Oreochromis niloticus: one gene and its partner. The protein of the gene in region 2 purifies or fractionates together with the protein of the main gene of each other region. This does not show direct contact. Links are inferred from orthologs where the notes say so. Each region holds a gene or a part of one and is shown on either strand. Other genes may lie near its edges.

Region 1 (7,856 bases), on a different chromosome or scaffold from region 2:
TCGTATTTCACTTTTATATACATAAATAGACACATTTTACAACATATTTTAAATTTAAAGCACTTCAATTTGTCATGACTACTTTGTTTTACTGCTTGTTCAGTTCAGACAAAAAAACAAAAACTAAACTAATTTTAATTACTTTGAGCTCTGCAATCAAATAAGTTGCAATGAATTAAATGGTAAATACTATACTGATAATTCTTAATTATTCATCTTTACTTGACTTTTTTACCCCCTAAAGAGAGTCCTACAAATTTGTGAGTCTGAATTTAAAACAACAACAAAACTGAAAGAGAAGCTCTTAGAAGAGCACTACTTCCTCACCAAAGGGTTAAGGCTTAATATATAGCAGCTAACCTGGATGCATCTTCTCCTGTAAAATTTCATATCATCCTGGGAGGAGAGTCCAGCAGCAAACCACAACCCACTACAAAGAATAAAAACAGAATATCATCATTGTGCATCTTTGGTGGGACTTAACTTCATAGGGGTTAAACTTTTCATAAGAAGGGACAGAGAACTGCTAGAGAGCAGAAGACACCCCAAAACTTTAAGAAGCTCACTTGGGGTAGATGTGTTAATGGAGGGAGTTTACAAACAGACCTCAAATTTGAAAATTTTAAGCTACTTGTGCTTTTGTTGTAAAGATAGTTAAAACCCAGGAAATTATATATTTGAAATACTTGCATATAGCTCTTGTGAAACTTCTAAATAGTTCTATCAGAGACATTAACTAAAACAGGATTTGCATTGTTGTGGATCTAGAAGAGCACTTGACCTCCTCTCAGCATGTTCATACCGATTTTAAAAATATAATCTAAATGGGGTGAAATTAAATACACAATATATTTTATTAAAATAGCCATCTGCTACTGTGAATCCAACTGGCCTTACTGCCATTACTGTTTTGACAAAGAACTGAAAAAGTTTGGTTTGAGAGAAATTCACAAACACAATGGCAGGCATTATACTAACAAAACTAAGAGGTAAAATTGTCTTTTAATCAAAAAGACAAACCCCACAGGGAAAATATCAGCTCTATTTTAACACAAAGCCATTTTGCAAGCGCACTTGTGGCTCTTTAGTCTCCCCCTAAATGTCTGATTCTTGTTAATTTTCAGTACTGACATATGAACAGTTCCTTTCCTGGCTCTAGTCATTACGGCATCAACGGGCCTATTTAGGTGTAAATATAACGACAGCTAGCTTGCTATTAGTAGCCGTATCATATCATAAGTGATGGCTAAAGACCTCTATAACAAGTCTGCGTGTCATCTTCTCACGCCCAACTGATTAGATCCATTCCAAAGCTGAATCAAACGAAACCAACCCAAAACAATTAAAAGCCTAACGCTCATGTATAAAGACCGTCCCCGGGTAGCTCTGTACTTACAGATGATGGGGTAGCGCTCGTCATGGTTGGAATTTAGGAAGCATATTCAGTGTTAATTTGCGTCCAGTCTTGCTACATATCGTTCGTGTGTGTGACTCCCAATTCCTCGCATAAATGACAAACGTATTCAGGCTCACGTTACCGTTAGCAGTCTAACTAGCTAACGCTGTCGTCGTTAACGTTACCCTGAAAACTGCGGGACAAGCAAGCATATCTCTCACCAATCCAGTGTTAACGTTAGCTAGTGACGCTGTGTGTGCAGCCAGCGGGTTGCGGGGCCCATTCAGCTGGTTCGTCAACAAGTCAGCGTTAACCATTAGCCGAGTTAGCCGATTTAGCTACGAGGCGTTAGCCTGGTTAGCTTCCGCACTCCATTGCTGTAAAAAACAAAACTACACCTCTGCAAGTAATATAGTTAGACAGTAATTCACAACGGAAATATGAGCCAGCAGAGCAACATTTTCTTCAATCCTACAATGACACTGTGTAATATCGCAGGGCTAGCTTTAACGTTAACGCTGTGCCAGCATGACTCTTCGCCCAAACCCACACAATCCGCTGCACCCCTCTCTCTCTGGGGTTAGTCCAAAAACCAGTTCGGATGCTGTTTCTGTCTGACATTAATAATCAGTTGACCTACTGACTGAAAGCAAACGTTATAGGTGGCTCCAGCGGAGTCGGCGCCGCCACAAAACGTTAGCTAGCCGCCATACCACAAGCTACCTTTCTCAACTTCACGATCGCGTCCATCATTGTTAACCATTGACGTTACACACAACATATACATCCACGAAAGCGTTAACCTGAACGCTTTCGCATAGGCTTTTGCTCACCTCTGATGGCACGATCTTCATTTAAAGTCCAATAACCTGTATGATGAGGAAACTTATCCAGTTTGAGATTCTCCCCTCCCTGCACGGTTAGCGAGTAATGTTAACGTTAAATCCAATTCCCCCGTCCTCTGACCGGCTAAAATAATTCGCCAGTCAGGTTCATTGCGCTCTTCATGTCCCAAGCACTATTGAAAAACATCGCCTGTCGAAGAAACTCTTGACTAACGTTACTATCAGCTGATGACAAGCAACATGCTAACGTTAACTAGCACGCATAACTCACCAGCTAACCTTAGCGAGCTGGCTAGCTAGTTGACAAAATGAACGCAGCTAACATTGGCTAGCTGTAGCTTCCGTGGCTAGCCTCAAGCTAACGAATCTAGCCACCGCTAAATAAATGTTCTGCCAAATTCAGATTTTTACGCCGTCTTCGCAAATTTGGCGCCGGCCACTTCGACAAACACGAGAACACGGTTAAATCCGGAGTATTTTAAACGTGAAACGGAATCCGTGTCCTCTGGTAATTTTGGTTAGGAATTTTGTGTCAATTTTCACAAAATGGCGCGCGGTCCAAACCTGCGCAGTGAACCGGCCCGGTGGACCAGAGACACGGACAACTGAGTTAGTGCGGCGCCGCCTAATTATTTCAACTGTGTTAAAACGTCGGCCTCTTGATCTTCTTAATCCGATCCACTAGACGCATTTCGATATCCAAAAACGTCAGACATATATCCACTGACAGCATTATTCCGGCGGGAAGGGAGAACATTTGAAAAGACTGAGCTGGGGAAAAAAACCCTCCTGACAAAATGGCGATGCTCTAGCTTGTTGCCATGGCAACTGTCAATCAAAAAAAAAAAAAGGTACCCGGATGTACCAATGACGAATAAGATCTAACTGGCCCGAGTTACAGGACACACATAACTCCGTGGTGTCCCTGTCTGTCTTTTTCCACCGCGTTTGGCCTGTTGCTATCAACCAGAAGACATTCAATATTTAGCTGTATCTGTAGACGGTTAAAGTAACTGTCTAAAGATACAGCTTCGTATAGCAATATAACCACAAAGAGATTCTATATCAGCCAACACACGGGCATAACAATAACAAAAGGTTAATAACGTGTAAACGTTTTATTTCTTTAATATTTATCTTTGTTAAAAATAGTCATTATTAGACACAGTAATGATGAAATGATGAAACTGTTTAATAAAGCATACACTGCAAAAGTTTTTGGGAGTTGCTAAAATTTCTTAATTCACAAAATTGGTAAGTTAATAGGTAGAAACTTAAAAACTTTATTAATCTTTATTAATTATTAATTAAATCTGTTTGCCTCCTTCCAGTTTTTTTTTCTTTTTTCTTTTCTTTGCATGCATTCACATCTTTCAGATAAAAAAAATAAAATTAATATTGTTTTAATTCAATGGACTTTTTTCAAGCATGAGCAACTTTTTAAGGACATGCAAATTTCAATCAAATTTAGTCTTGAACTTTCAACCTGTCACTCTAAAAACCTAATTTTGTTATTTTGTATATTTCAAATCATTGTCCAGCTGCGTAACCTAAGTGCCCTTGAGCTTCATGGCACAACCTGATTGCTGGACATTCTCCTCATGGATTTTCTGCAAGAGAGCAGAATTCATGGTTCTATCAATTAGGGCAAGTCGTCCAGGGCCTGAAGGAGCATAACAGCCCCAGCCCATCACAATACTACCACCATGTTTAACTCTTCGTATGAGTGTCTTTTTTATGAAAGCCTCTGCTAGTTTTATACCAGATGAAATAGAAATCAAACCTTCCAAAAAGTTCAGCTTTTGTCTTGTCAGTAAACTAAATATTTTTTCCCAGACGTCTTGGGGATCATTAGGATGTTTTTTGGCAAATGTGAGATGAGCTTTTGTGTTCTTTTTGGTTAGCAGTGGTTTTCTTGGAACTCTCCTGTGGATGCCATTTTTGCCCAGTCTCTTCCTTACTGTTGAATTATGCACTCCAACCTTAACTGAAGCAAGTGAGGCCTGAAGTTTGTTAGATGTTGTTCTGAGTTTTTGTGATTTCTTGGATGAATCGTTGATGTGCTCTTAGAGTAATTTTGGTAGGCCAGCCACTCGTGGAAATGTTCATCACTGTTTCACATTTTCTACATTTGTGGATGATGGTTCACTGGAGTCCTAGAGCCTTAGAAATGGCTTTGTAACCCTTCCCAGACCGATAGACGCCAATGACTTCTTTGTTTCTCAGCTGTTTCTTTAGATTGCGGCATGATGTGTTGAGATCTTTCAGTCTGCTTCTCTTTGTCAAAGAAGTTCTGTTTAAGTGAAACAGGCTGATTCACTGGCAGTAATCAGGCCTGGGTGTGGCTGGTGAAACTGAACTCAGCTTTCCAAAACCAAAATGTGGTTGATCACAGTTAATTAAGGATTTAACAATGGTTGTCCACACTCCACCAGCAGCAGCTCTATGTACAGTGGAACTCAGTTTGAGAACTACTGTGGTTGACTGCATTCGATTTTTTCTCTCTGTTCCTGTTAAAGATTCACAATGAATGGTGAAACTTAATATTTTTTTCACTTCACTGCCTGATTATTGTGGCCAGACAAATTCACTATAGCAATGTTATTAATGTTGTTTTTTCTCTTATTCTCAAACTGGGGGCTGGAGAGAGTGTTCATAACCATGTAATTGCAATAAGGCATTAAAAAATGACATTATTATTTTTTATTTAAAATATTGTCATGCATGCATCATTTCATTAAAGGAAAATTAGTTATTTTTATTATTATATTATAACAACGGTGGAAGCGATGTATGCATTTTACAGTTTTTCAATTATTTAAATGGAAAAGAGTCACAATATCATATATGTTAACACGTTACCAAGGAGGAAAGACAGCAGCAACGATCTCAGAGAAATAACTAGTATGGACCAGCAGTCTGAAAAGATTATAAGGCCATTCATGAATAACTTGAAATCCATCATTCAAGGCAGTTGCCAATCTTCCCAGCGGTGGATGTTCTAGCAAATTCACCCCAAGCTCAGACTGTGCAATTCTCAGAGAAACTGCGGCTTTGTTGTTGTTTGTTTGATGTTTGGCCATAATACACAGTTCTTGGAAAACCGAACACAACATGAGCATAAAGAACAACTGTCGAGCACGGTGGCGGAGGCGTGATGGTTTGGACTAGGTTTGCAGGATTGAGTCAGCCATGAACTTCTCTGTGTACCAAAGTGTTCTAGCACCAAATGTGACCGATAAAGCTTGGCTAAAACTGGGTTAGACAGGAGAATATTCCCGAGCACAGCAGCAGGTCTAAAACACAATGGCTGAAAAATATAAGAATTAAGGTGCTGCAGTGGCCCAGTCCAAGTGGAAAGACTTTAAGAGAGCTGTGTATGAATGAATGAAGAAACACTGTAAAGAAGAGTGCAATAAAAATTCCCCCACAATGATGTGAGAGACTGATAAAGTCATACAGAAAACAGTTACTTCAAGTTAAAGTTATAGAAGTTTTTGTATCATGCGGTGAACTTAGTTTTTTTGTTTACTTTTTTATTAAGCCAAACATATACGTGTCCTGGGAGAATATTAAGCCACATCAATTGAAACTAGCACAGTAAGTTGTGGCTCATGTATGATAAAAAGAGTTTAAAACAAAGAGTATTTAGAAAGCTTTTGTTGAACATTTACATATGATGATGTACGTCAGTCAGGTCTTGAGCAGGTAACACTTGCAGGACTTGTCTGAATAATGACTACATATAACAGACAAACGCTTAAAGATTCAGACATCTCAGAGCTGGAGAAACAAGTTGAGCCAGGAAATCTCATGCTAGTGTTTTGTGTTGACCGGAATGGTCTGGGAGTTTATTCCTTACTATCATGAAATAAAGACTTTATAAAGACAGAAATATTGATTGAAGATATCTTAACAGCAAAACAACGGGACAAAAACAGACTGTGTAGTGGAATGGGCTAATTACTTACTGTAAGTGCAAACAGTGACCTTTTCTAACTGTAACTGACATTTCTCATTGTTACGCCTGTTTTGTGATATGTTTAGGCTATAGAAATAAAGCAGATTAAACTAATTTAAATTAGATTATTTAAATTCATTTTTACCGCAGAAGTTTGAAAGTTTACTTATTTATCTGTATCTGTAAGACTCATGTCATTATCACGAGTCATGCATGTGTAACATGCTTTCCAGTGTCTGTGTTTTCAACAACAGTTTGAGCAAAAGGCCACCATGACTGAGATGTCTGCAGTGATAATGAGAAGTGTTCTTAAGTACTGCAACCACAAAATAAACAAAGTTAATATAATTAACTCATGTTAAGCGCTTAACAAGAGACAAGGAGTTTGAGGCAAGGAGTTTGCACAATTTTGTAATAAAGCTCGCATATCTAATTTTATACTGGATGTTTAACTAGCATCTGGGAAACTGTAAAGTTTTACTTGCTCATTTGTTCATTTTCAGGTCAAACACTCATGTAACAGCGAAACCTATTGTCTGAAAAATGTCCCTAAAACAATATTTATCTTGACACATGTACTGCACGCAGCAGTGAATTTTACTTTAAGAGGTCGCAAGAGGTTCAATTCATTATAATGAAAGGGAAGTTGTAAACTTATGACATCTGCTGGCTGTGTGGATTCCATATTAGGAGACATACATCCAGTTGAGTGACGAAATACAAAACAGTCTCCATTCTGAATGATCAGTTCAACTGATGGTAGCGTCAAGCTTTAAACAAAGGGGCATGGGGCTGAAATAAAATTCAAGCACCAACTTGTGGCTTTTATTGTTAAAGAGCAGGACTTCACAAGCACACTAATCCCTCAGGAAACAACTGCTTTCCCTTCATACTCTACCTGTTTCAGGTATCTGGAATACATAACACCAAACAAAATTTGATACAAAGAATAAATATTTACACAAACATGGATTCATATAGATATTAAAATCATATAAAACCTTTAAATATTTACAGATAATAGAATTAGTTTGACTGAAGTGCCTGAACCTGTCACGCTGGTTTGCCCCAGGGGCGCTTAAGCAGGTGATTAAACTCCTGTTCCTCTTTTGTCTCATGTTCTGTTAAAGAGACAAGCAGGAAGAAGTGAGTACTGATAGTATGTGCAATAACTGAACCCACGTAGTTTATATAATTATAGACTGAAAATTAATTATGATCAGTCATCAGTGTTTATGATCAATGTTTTCACTTAAATAATTCTCCAAAATATGCACTAAACCCAAATGATTCCCCCCAAAATCAGCGTGGGTCGATTTTCATTTAGCTCACAATATCAACCATTCGTGAACTCACAAACATGCAGCAGGTAAAGGAACCCCTGGTTTTAATACGTGTTCTAGCACATGTACATTTTGTGAAGCCAGGACCAATTTGTACTGAAGACGTGCTGGAAATGGCCCCAGCAGCCTTGGGCTTCTGTCTGCCATTAATATAGAAGAAACCATTTGGGTCCATCACTATGATGGTGTAAGACTGTCATTCCTGCTGATAACCTATCTAATACTGATAATTAATCATGACCATTTATGCCATCTGGACGGCTGCATATGGGACTGTTCACTAGCTGACTGAGAAATCTTATTTTTGTGAA
Region 2 (7,593 bases):
GTGAAAGAAAATCCACACTGTGAACCTCTCCTGGCAAACTGACTTATTCCCCTGATGAGACCTTTTTATTCCTACACCAGCAATGAAAATAATTTCTTTAGGGTAAAAGAAGTTTTCTTTAGGGTTGTAAATTCTCACCTGGTCTTGTAGGTCATAATCATAACTGTCATGCAGGAGAAGACTGAGAACATAGCGGGTGTAGATCATGGCATCAATCCCGCACTTCTCAAGCTCCTGGCCTAGCCAGCTTTGCACTGGACCCAGCGAATGGAGCAGCGACATCTTTGAGGCAGGCAGGGGGCCCACAAGAGGGTAGGGGCAAGAGAGGTTCTCAGGAGGAGCAGGACCGTCTGAATCGGTGCTCACTGGACGCATGGGACCTCAGGTATTGGCCATTCTCGGGTAGAGCAACATTATGACAGGTATTTACTGCTGAGTGGTTGGTGGAGAAAGGTGCAGAGGCGATTAACCTATCTGGAAGAGGAGGCCGTCACTCCAGCAGTACAAACTACATGAGGAGGCATGTAGGATGTTTTTTTTTCCTTTTTTCTTTTTTTTTATTGCTTTGAGCAAAAAGGGGGGATGTTACTCATCAGGCATGGCTTAATGCTGCTGATATATTTCAGCTTCTGAGCAAAACACAAGACGTGTTTGCATTTCAGTCAGAGGGGTCCATTTTGGGGCTACGTCTTACTTCACCGGCACAACCTGAAACAGAGCAAACAAGTTTCTCACATATATTTTCAGTGTAGAATGCAAGTGAGCATAGCAAAGCAGCGTGGATCAAGACTTTTTTGCTCCTTTCAGCTGAATATATAGTGCATTTTATGGAGCAAACGAAGGAGAATTTAATGTTATAACAGGTCCAACTGCAGCATGTGTGTCAGATAATCAAATCTTTATTTATTTATTTTTTGTTACTATAAAATCTTAAGAAGTAAGCCCAAGCTCTTTCAGCGGAATAAAAAGGTTTGTTTTAAGCAATGCTGCATTTCCTCAAAATATAGCCGACTGTGACCCTTCACATAAATCTCAAATGTCCATGCTATTCAGGTCTGCATGCCATTTAAGTGACAGACAAAGTGAAACATGTTTGTAGTGCAGGGCATAAAGAAATCCTTCCTGTTTGACTACTTTTGTATACCACTTATCACGATCACAAAACATCCGCATTGTTTCATGACTAATATCGCCAACAAGTTCTGTATTAGCGACAAACCCAACAGCTGAGTGTAACTGCGGGCAGTGAGCAGGGGAAGGCTCGTATAGCAGCGGTGGATTAGGACACCGACGTGAAGAGCAAATGGAGGCTGCGGCGATTTGATTGGCTCCAGTGCTCGTCATTCAGCGGTGGTATATTATAAGTTACGACATAAAAAGGTCGAGATACGAAGCCTTAGAGCTTGCCATCACGTGATTCCAGCAGTCGACACCTTTATGTATAAGAATGTTTATTGAAGTGCAGATGGACAGCAGCTGAAAGGTTAGCTAGCTCGAAAACTACTAAATATGGCTGACCAGTATCTCCAACCCAGCTGTTTCTTATATGCACACCATCTCCGGCCGGCAGTTAGCTTTTCACTGCACGACACCACACCAACAGACCAACTTTATGCAGCAGTACTTAAATTATCCCACATAAGAAAACAAATGCGTGCGGCTTTAGCGAGTTTATTGTGACTTCGCGCAAATATTAACTGACATTAACGTTACGCCGTTGAGCTACCGAGTGCGGCAAAGCAACTACAGGGAAATCTAAAACAATATTTAGTATTAGACAGAAATGTCATCAACATGCCAATATACCATTTAGTCTGTCATTAGCCAACAGCTGTGGTGTCAGCTAACGTTGCGCTGACTTATGCTATAAGAGTCATTTTGCAGTCAAACAGCAAGGTTAGCTTGACCACCGACCTTTAGCTAATAAGCCGTTAGCCAAGTTAGCTGCCGACAGCTTCTCATTTTTGGTCATAGGACGGACCTTAATATTAATACGACTACCACCTACCATACATAATTATAACGAGGCGTTTGTTTAATTTGGTTCTTTTCTTCTTCTTTTTTTAATCTGAAGACAAACGCTACTGAAGTGGTGACCAGGTAAACGGAGCTTGTTTCGGTTACAGAGACCTGACAGTTCTCTATTAAATATATCAACACGCTAACGTTTGAGCAACTTTCTGTAACACGGCACATGAAAATAGCAAGCACAGAGTCAAAACAAAACGGAGATGCGTTTTTATTAAAACCGAAACAACCATTACATAAGGTTAGCTACGCTTGTTGTTGTGACCGAGGGGGAGGAGGAGCGGCTGCCCGGTAGCCTACAGAGGACTTTCAGACGTTTCCCTTCAAAATTGTGCGTCATATCGTCGTATATAGGCAAAGAAGTAAGCTGCTTAAGCATGGAACACCAAGTAGGAACTAGGATATTTCAATGCAAAAAGAAAACTTCCATGTGAGTCGCTGGTTTACGTACCTGCCGTTGGCTGAAGTTAAGAGAAGCAGCGAGAGGGGAGCGGCAATTTCTCTCCCGCTGCTGTTCCGAGCTCGAGCTCTGGAATCTGTTCCAGTCGCATAGCTATCATGGACGCCGACAGAAATGGCGCTGTTTTCACGTCTAGTGCGTCTTCAACAGCGTCAAGGAAACTGGCGTCATTCGGGCTCAAACATGAGAGAAGGTCACACTGTGACGAGACTACGCGCAGAGCCAAAATGTCCGCTGAGTAACGGCAGTTTCATTTAGAAACGGACTCCAAACGCACCGCCCTTTGCGTTCGTATCCAAGCAACAACGCAAACCGCTGCTGATCCTGCTCGTATGGGTTGATCCCTCCGCTGGGGTATTGCATCAGAAGGCCATCTAGTACTGTCATCGTTTATACTCACAAAGGCGGGTCTGACGGGGTCTCCCCTACGCCCCCTGAAGTGTAGTTTCGGTTCCGGCGTCCCCCCACTAAAAATTGCTGTTTTAACACAGGAAACGCCAACATTCACTATGTGGGAATACAAACTTGAGTTGATAGAACTCAGAAAATCACCGTGTCCTATAGTAAAACGGATGATACTGACCAAGTTAAATGCAAATTTCATTCAGTAATGACGCCTTCTTGTCTGAGTTCTAAGAATTTGTAGACATTATTCAAATTTCATGTAGACATTTAGGTACAATTAAATAATATTGTTTACTGTGACATGCTGTCTCTTTGTCATTTGAATGCCAATATCTTATATTTCACATATTACACATTTATAAATGAAACCACAATCAGACATCATTTAAATCCAAATAGAAAATGAAATGGTATCCTCTTAATTTGACACTTTAAAAAAAAAATATTTTTAATAAAGCAGGCTAAGTCTGAACTGATGCAGAACTGATGCAGCTGATGACCACACACACTCGGCATGTTTATCTGTATGATTCACAAATACAAGTACATATGTCAGAATAAAATCTGACCATTTTGACTTTTTGCTCTTTATTAATTACAGCTGGAGCTTTATCTCATACTGTCTGTCATTACTACTTTGAGTGCAGCTTTTAGTCACTTTTACCACTATTACTATGTATAGCTCTGCAATTCAACAAGAAAAAAAGATTTACAGTGTAGGATTTAGTAACAAGAACAATCAGCATCTCCAGACTACTGCAAATAGAGAAATTTTGGTTCAGTGGCAGTAGTGTGTTGACAGTCCACTGGCAGTTATGGATCATCCGTCTACCTGCAGAGAGCATTTGTTGAGAAATGGCAGCGGTGTCAAAAATATGTGATGCAGCCAGTCCCACATATTTTTCCATATGTTGTTATTAATCCATCAGCCAACTGTGGAGAAATTATAACATATGAAGTATTAAAGTAAAACTGAGTGTTAAAAACAGCTACTGTCTTTAGTTTTTGTGCTGTATTATTTTTTTCATCTTTGATGGTTTTTTTGTGCTTCTCTCTTCTACTGTGCATGTTGATCAAGTATTCAACCAATGCACAGTGTCATCACATTAAGCAGTACAGTTGAGAGCATGCTCATGTTTGTAAAAATCCCCTCTCTGTAGGCAAATACAATCACAAAATCATAAATAAAGCATAAAACTGTGTGTTTTGAGAGGGGGTTGATGGTGCTTGTTCTATGGACTGCCTTCTAATAAGGATCTATAGTGTGGCACTCTTTATCTGACCCCAGGGGTTATGACCTTTGTGCTGAGACGAGCCAAAGCCTATTGACCAGCTGTTTCTACCACTATGTGTGCAGATACACACACACAGACACAGCACAGTGTGCTTCAATCAGGTTAGCACTAATGGTGAGAGAGCTAACTGTAAATACATCGTAATATTACCCACAATATTCCAAAATTAGAACAATTCAACATCAAATAGGCTGTGAACTTGGCAGCTGGCAAGTTAATATCCCATTTGAAAGTGTTGGACAACTGTGTTGTAATATATAACTTTATCGGGGAAGTCCTGTAAAAATTCAGGTATGCAAAGCTTGTGCACAACAGCCACATATGAATTTCTGTTTTGCCTGCAAGAGCACTGGGGATAAAAAGTCAAATTCATATTGACTTTTTGTAACCTGGAAACTAAAGCCATGAGGAAGAATTATAAGTTTTCAGCATCAACATTCTGTGCACACTGCAAATTCAAGATGGTTTTTTTTTTTCATTGTTTACTTTCTGCCTCACTTTTTTTTTGCCTTTCCTGTTACATGATAACATCTCATGAAAGCCTCAGCCATGAGCACAGCAGCAGTTTAGCCCAAGGCTGTTTGACATCTTCACATGTATCTCATCACCAAATTTGCACAGCAGTAACTATAAACTGTCCAAACGGTTTGTGAGGATTAAAATACACAACGCTGGGCTCTGTGGAAAGTACGGTTTTGTAATACCACAAGTTTCCCTATACTCATCAAAAGCACAGAGTCGGGTTAAAAAAATCTAGCAGATCCTGATAGCCTAATCAATACAATCAATCAGGCAGTCTAAATTAGATGTAAATTAGATTTCAAATTATCCAAATTGAAATCAAATTTAATCTACAGAAACAAGAATCAAATGTAACAAAATATATATCAATTTTGGCCTCATTTTTCTCTTATTACAAGTTGATTTCTTTAGTAAATTTAGTAAATCGTCCACTCTTCTCTCACCCCAACCAGTCGCAGCAGATGCCCGCCCCTCCCTGAGCCTGGTTCTTCCCTGTTAAAAGGGAGTTTTTCCTTCCCACTGTCGTGAAAGTGCTTGCTCATAGGGGGTCATATGATTGTTGAGCTTTTCTCTGTATGCATTATTGTAGGGTCTACCTTACAATATAAAGCACCTTGAGGCAACTGACGTTGTGATTTGACGCTGTATAGATAAAATTGAATTGAATTGAATATGGACTGGATGTGGTACAGGACCCTCCATTCAGAGAGCAACAGCTCAATCTGCTCTGCTCTTTGCTCTGACAGCTTTCTCATTTGCCAGTGTTAATTGAAAGTCAATTTGGAACAGATGGCAGAGTTAAAAGATGCCCTATAATCCTCTCGCAGCAAAAGGGGTTAGGGAAGTGGGGGTAGGGAAGGATGCCTCTGGGTGATTCCACTACAATGTTATGACAGTAAAATGTTTCTCATAATGCTATAGCTTTGCTTTTCAACAGAGCACACAGTACCATTTCAAAGTGAAATTGGTTCTCATTCACATGGTGGGTCAAATCTTTTATTTGTCACAAGCATGAGAGCAACCAAAGCTGATACTGATTTGAGTTTTAAAATATCACCTCATTACTTGAAGTTTCCTGCAAATTTCTCTATTTTCATGCTGCAAAAAATATAAACGAACTCACGACTGAAAGCTTTAATGAACATTCAAAGAAACTATACACAATGGGATACATACATTTCAAGTTCTTAGAAACAATTAGCTCCCTTCAGTGAAGAGATTTACTACACCTGACTGCCTCATTAAAGGTCACTACTCCGCTGTGTATTTTCAATTTAAGTTATATAGTGTCAAGTCACAACAATGATGAGAGAGAGACAGGACAACGACTAGTCACCATTATTTTGTAGTAACCTTCACATCTACAGCATAAAGTGGCAAGTATTTTAAGGAGAATATTCTAGAAGATTGACATATGTCATTGTGGTATTTTTGAGGGCCTAACATTTTATTAATTGTGAAAAACTTAGATATTCAAATAAAATGGTGTGGAGAGTATAGCAGTCTTTATAAAGCCTTTAGTGGGTTTCAAGAAATTACAGTTGAGCATCTTTCAGACTAAGTGCAATATATAGAATAATTGAAAAATCTGTGCTTACCTAGCGAACTTGCTAACAATGCTAACATTGAGTCATGATATTTTGTAATTTGAGGTAAGCTATGTTGTTAAACTAGGGTGACCAACCGTGCTCTTTTCCCCGGACATGTCCACTTTTCACGTTCTATCTGGGGCGTCCGGGGGGATTTTCGAGATGGATGAAAATGTCCGGGTTTTCCTACAGAAGACCCATATGTGCAACGTCATCCCCGAACTACTGTGTTGTAAGTGGTTGTTCCCCGCTCACAGATGGGACAGAGCGTGGAGCGGCACGCTGAAAAGATGCCAAAGCGCAAGTGCATCTTTTTAGACAAACTGCAAAAGAAATTTACCTCGTACCATCCCGGTCGGAATAAATGGGAGGCGTAGTGCACTGTGTGCAGAGCTGGCACATACGTTTGTATGTCTAACAAAGGTGCCGGAGATCTTGTTGCTTACATGGACACAGAAAAACATAAAAAGGCTGCTCGAGGCGAAAATTCATCTAGTAAGTTGACTGAGTTCTTTGTTACACCTGGGAAAAATGAGGATGCTGTTGTATCTGGAGCAGAAGGTGCACTGGCATTTCATACTACGAGGCATCAGAATAGCTAGACCCATGGATTGCACTAGTGTGTTGCTAAAAAAAAAAACCCCCAAAAAAACAACATTTCCAGACTTTAACACAGCTAAAAAGTTCAGCAGTGCCTGCACCAAGATTGAAGCTATTGTCACTCTTGAAGCTAATGAAATCCATTACTGTGGCATTTCTCAGACTTCAGTAACCATGGAACAGAGAAAATATTCCCAATCATACTTTGACTGGAAGAATGGTGGCGTGCAAACAAAATTAATTGAGGTTAGAAACGCCAAATGAAACAGCAGAAACCATTGCACAATACCTCACTGGTACCTCACTGGTAATTTTTCTTATACAGATGAGGCATTATTTCTGTAACATTATTTAATTCCAGAGGTTTTTAAGTTATTTTTTTTGCACTTGTTGACTTGTAAAAGCCTATATGACATTTTTTATTTCACCATTCATTAACCACACAGAGAAGGCATCTTTTAAATATGTTAACATTTTCTTTAAACAAACAGTATTATTAAAATTCGTCATGACTGGGCCAAGTGTCCTCTTTTTTGGAAATCAAAATATGGTCACCCTAGTTAAACTATATAAGAAAAGGTCCCCCGTTTATGTCATTATTAGGTAGCACTTTATCAGTTGTACAGTAAACCACTCTATACATTTTATAGTACCTAATGCCATTCAAAATAGCTCATATTAATAAGCTAAAGTA

Evidence for each region. The genes of interacting proteins can lie anywhere in the genome.
Region 1: the proteins of kiaa0232 (region 2) and dyrk1ab purify together in Homo sapiens (affinity purification with mass spectrometry; 3 studies listed by BioGRID and IntAct, with this or other methods). This does not show direct contact. The link is inferred for Oreochromis niloticus from reciprocal best matches to the Homo sapiens genes KIAA0232 and DYRK1A.

Annotation. Positions count from the first base shown.
Region 1 is NC_031979.2:25,834,189-25,842,044, forward strand, and holds the start of dyrk1ab (dual-specificity tyrosine-(Y)-phosphorylation regulated kinase 1A, b), read right to left. Parts: upstream 3,066-7,856; 5' UTR 2,230-3,065; intron 2,174-2,229; exon of another isoform or gene 1,397-2,173; intron 431-1,396; 5' UTR 391-430; coding exon 361-390; intron 1-360. UniProt on the Homo sapiens protein: Dual-specificity kinase which possesses both serine/threonine and tyrosine kinase activities. Exhibits a substrate preference for proline at position P+1 and arginine at position P-3.
Region 2 is NC_031967.2:4,756,634-4,764,226, forward strand, and holds the start of kiaa0232 (uncharacterized protein KIAA0232 homolog), read right to left. Parts: upstream 3,040-7,593; 5' UTR 2,480-3,039; intron 2,231-2,479; exon of another isoform or gene 2,009-2,230; intron 709-2,008; 5' UTR 376-708; coding exon 139-375; intron 1-138.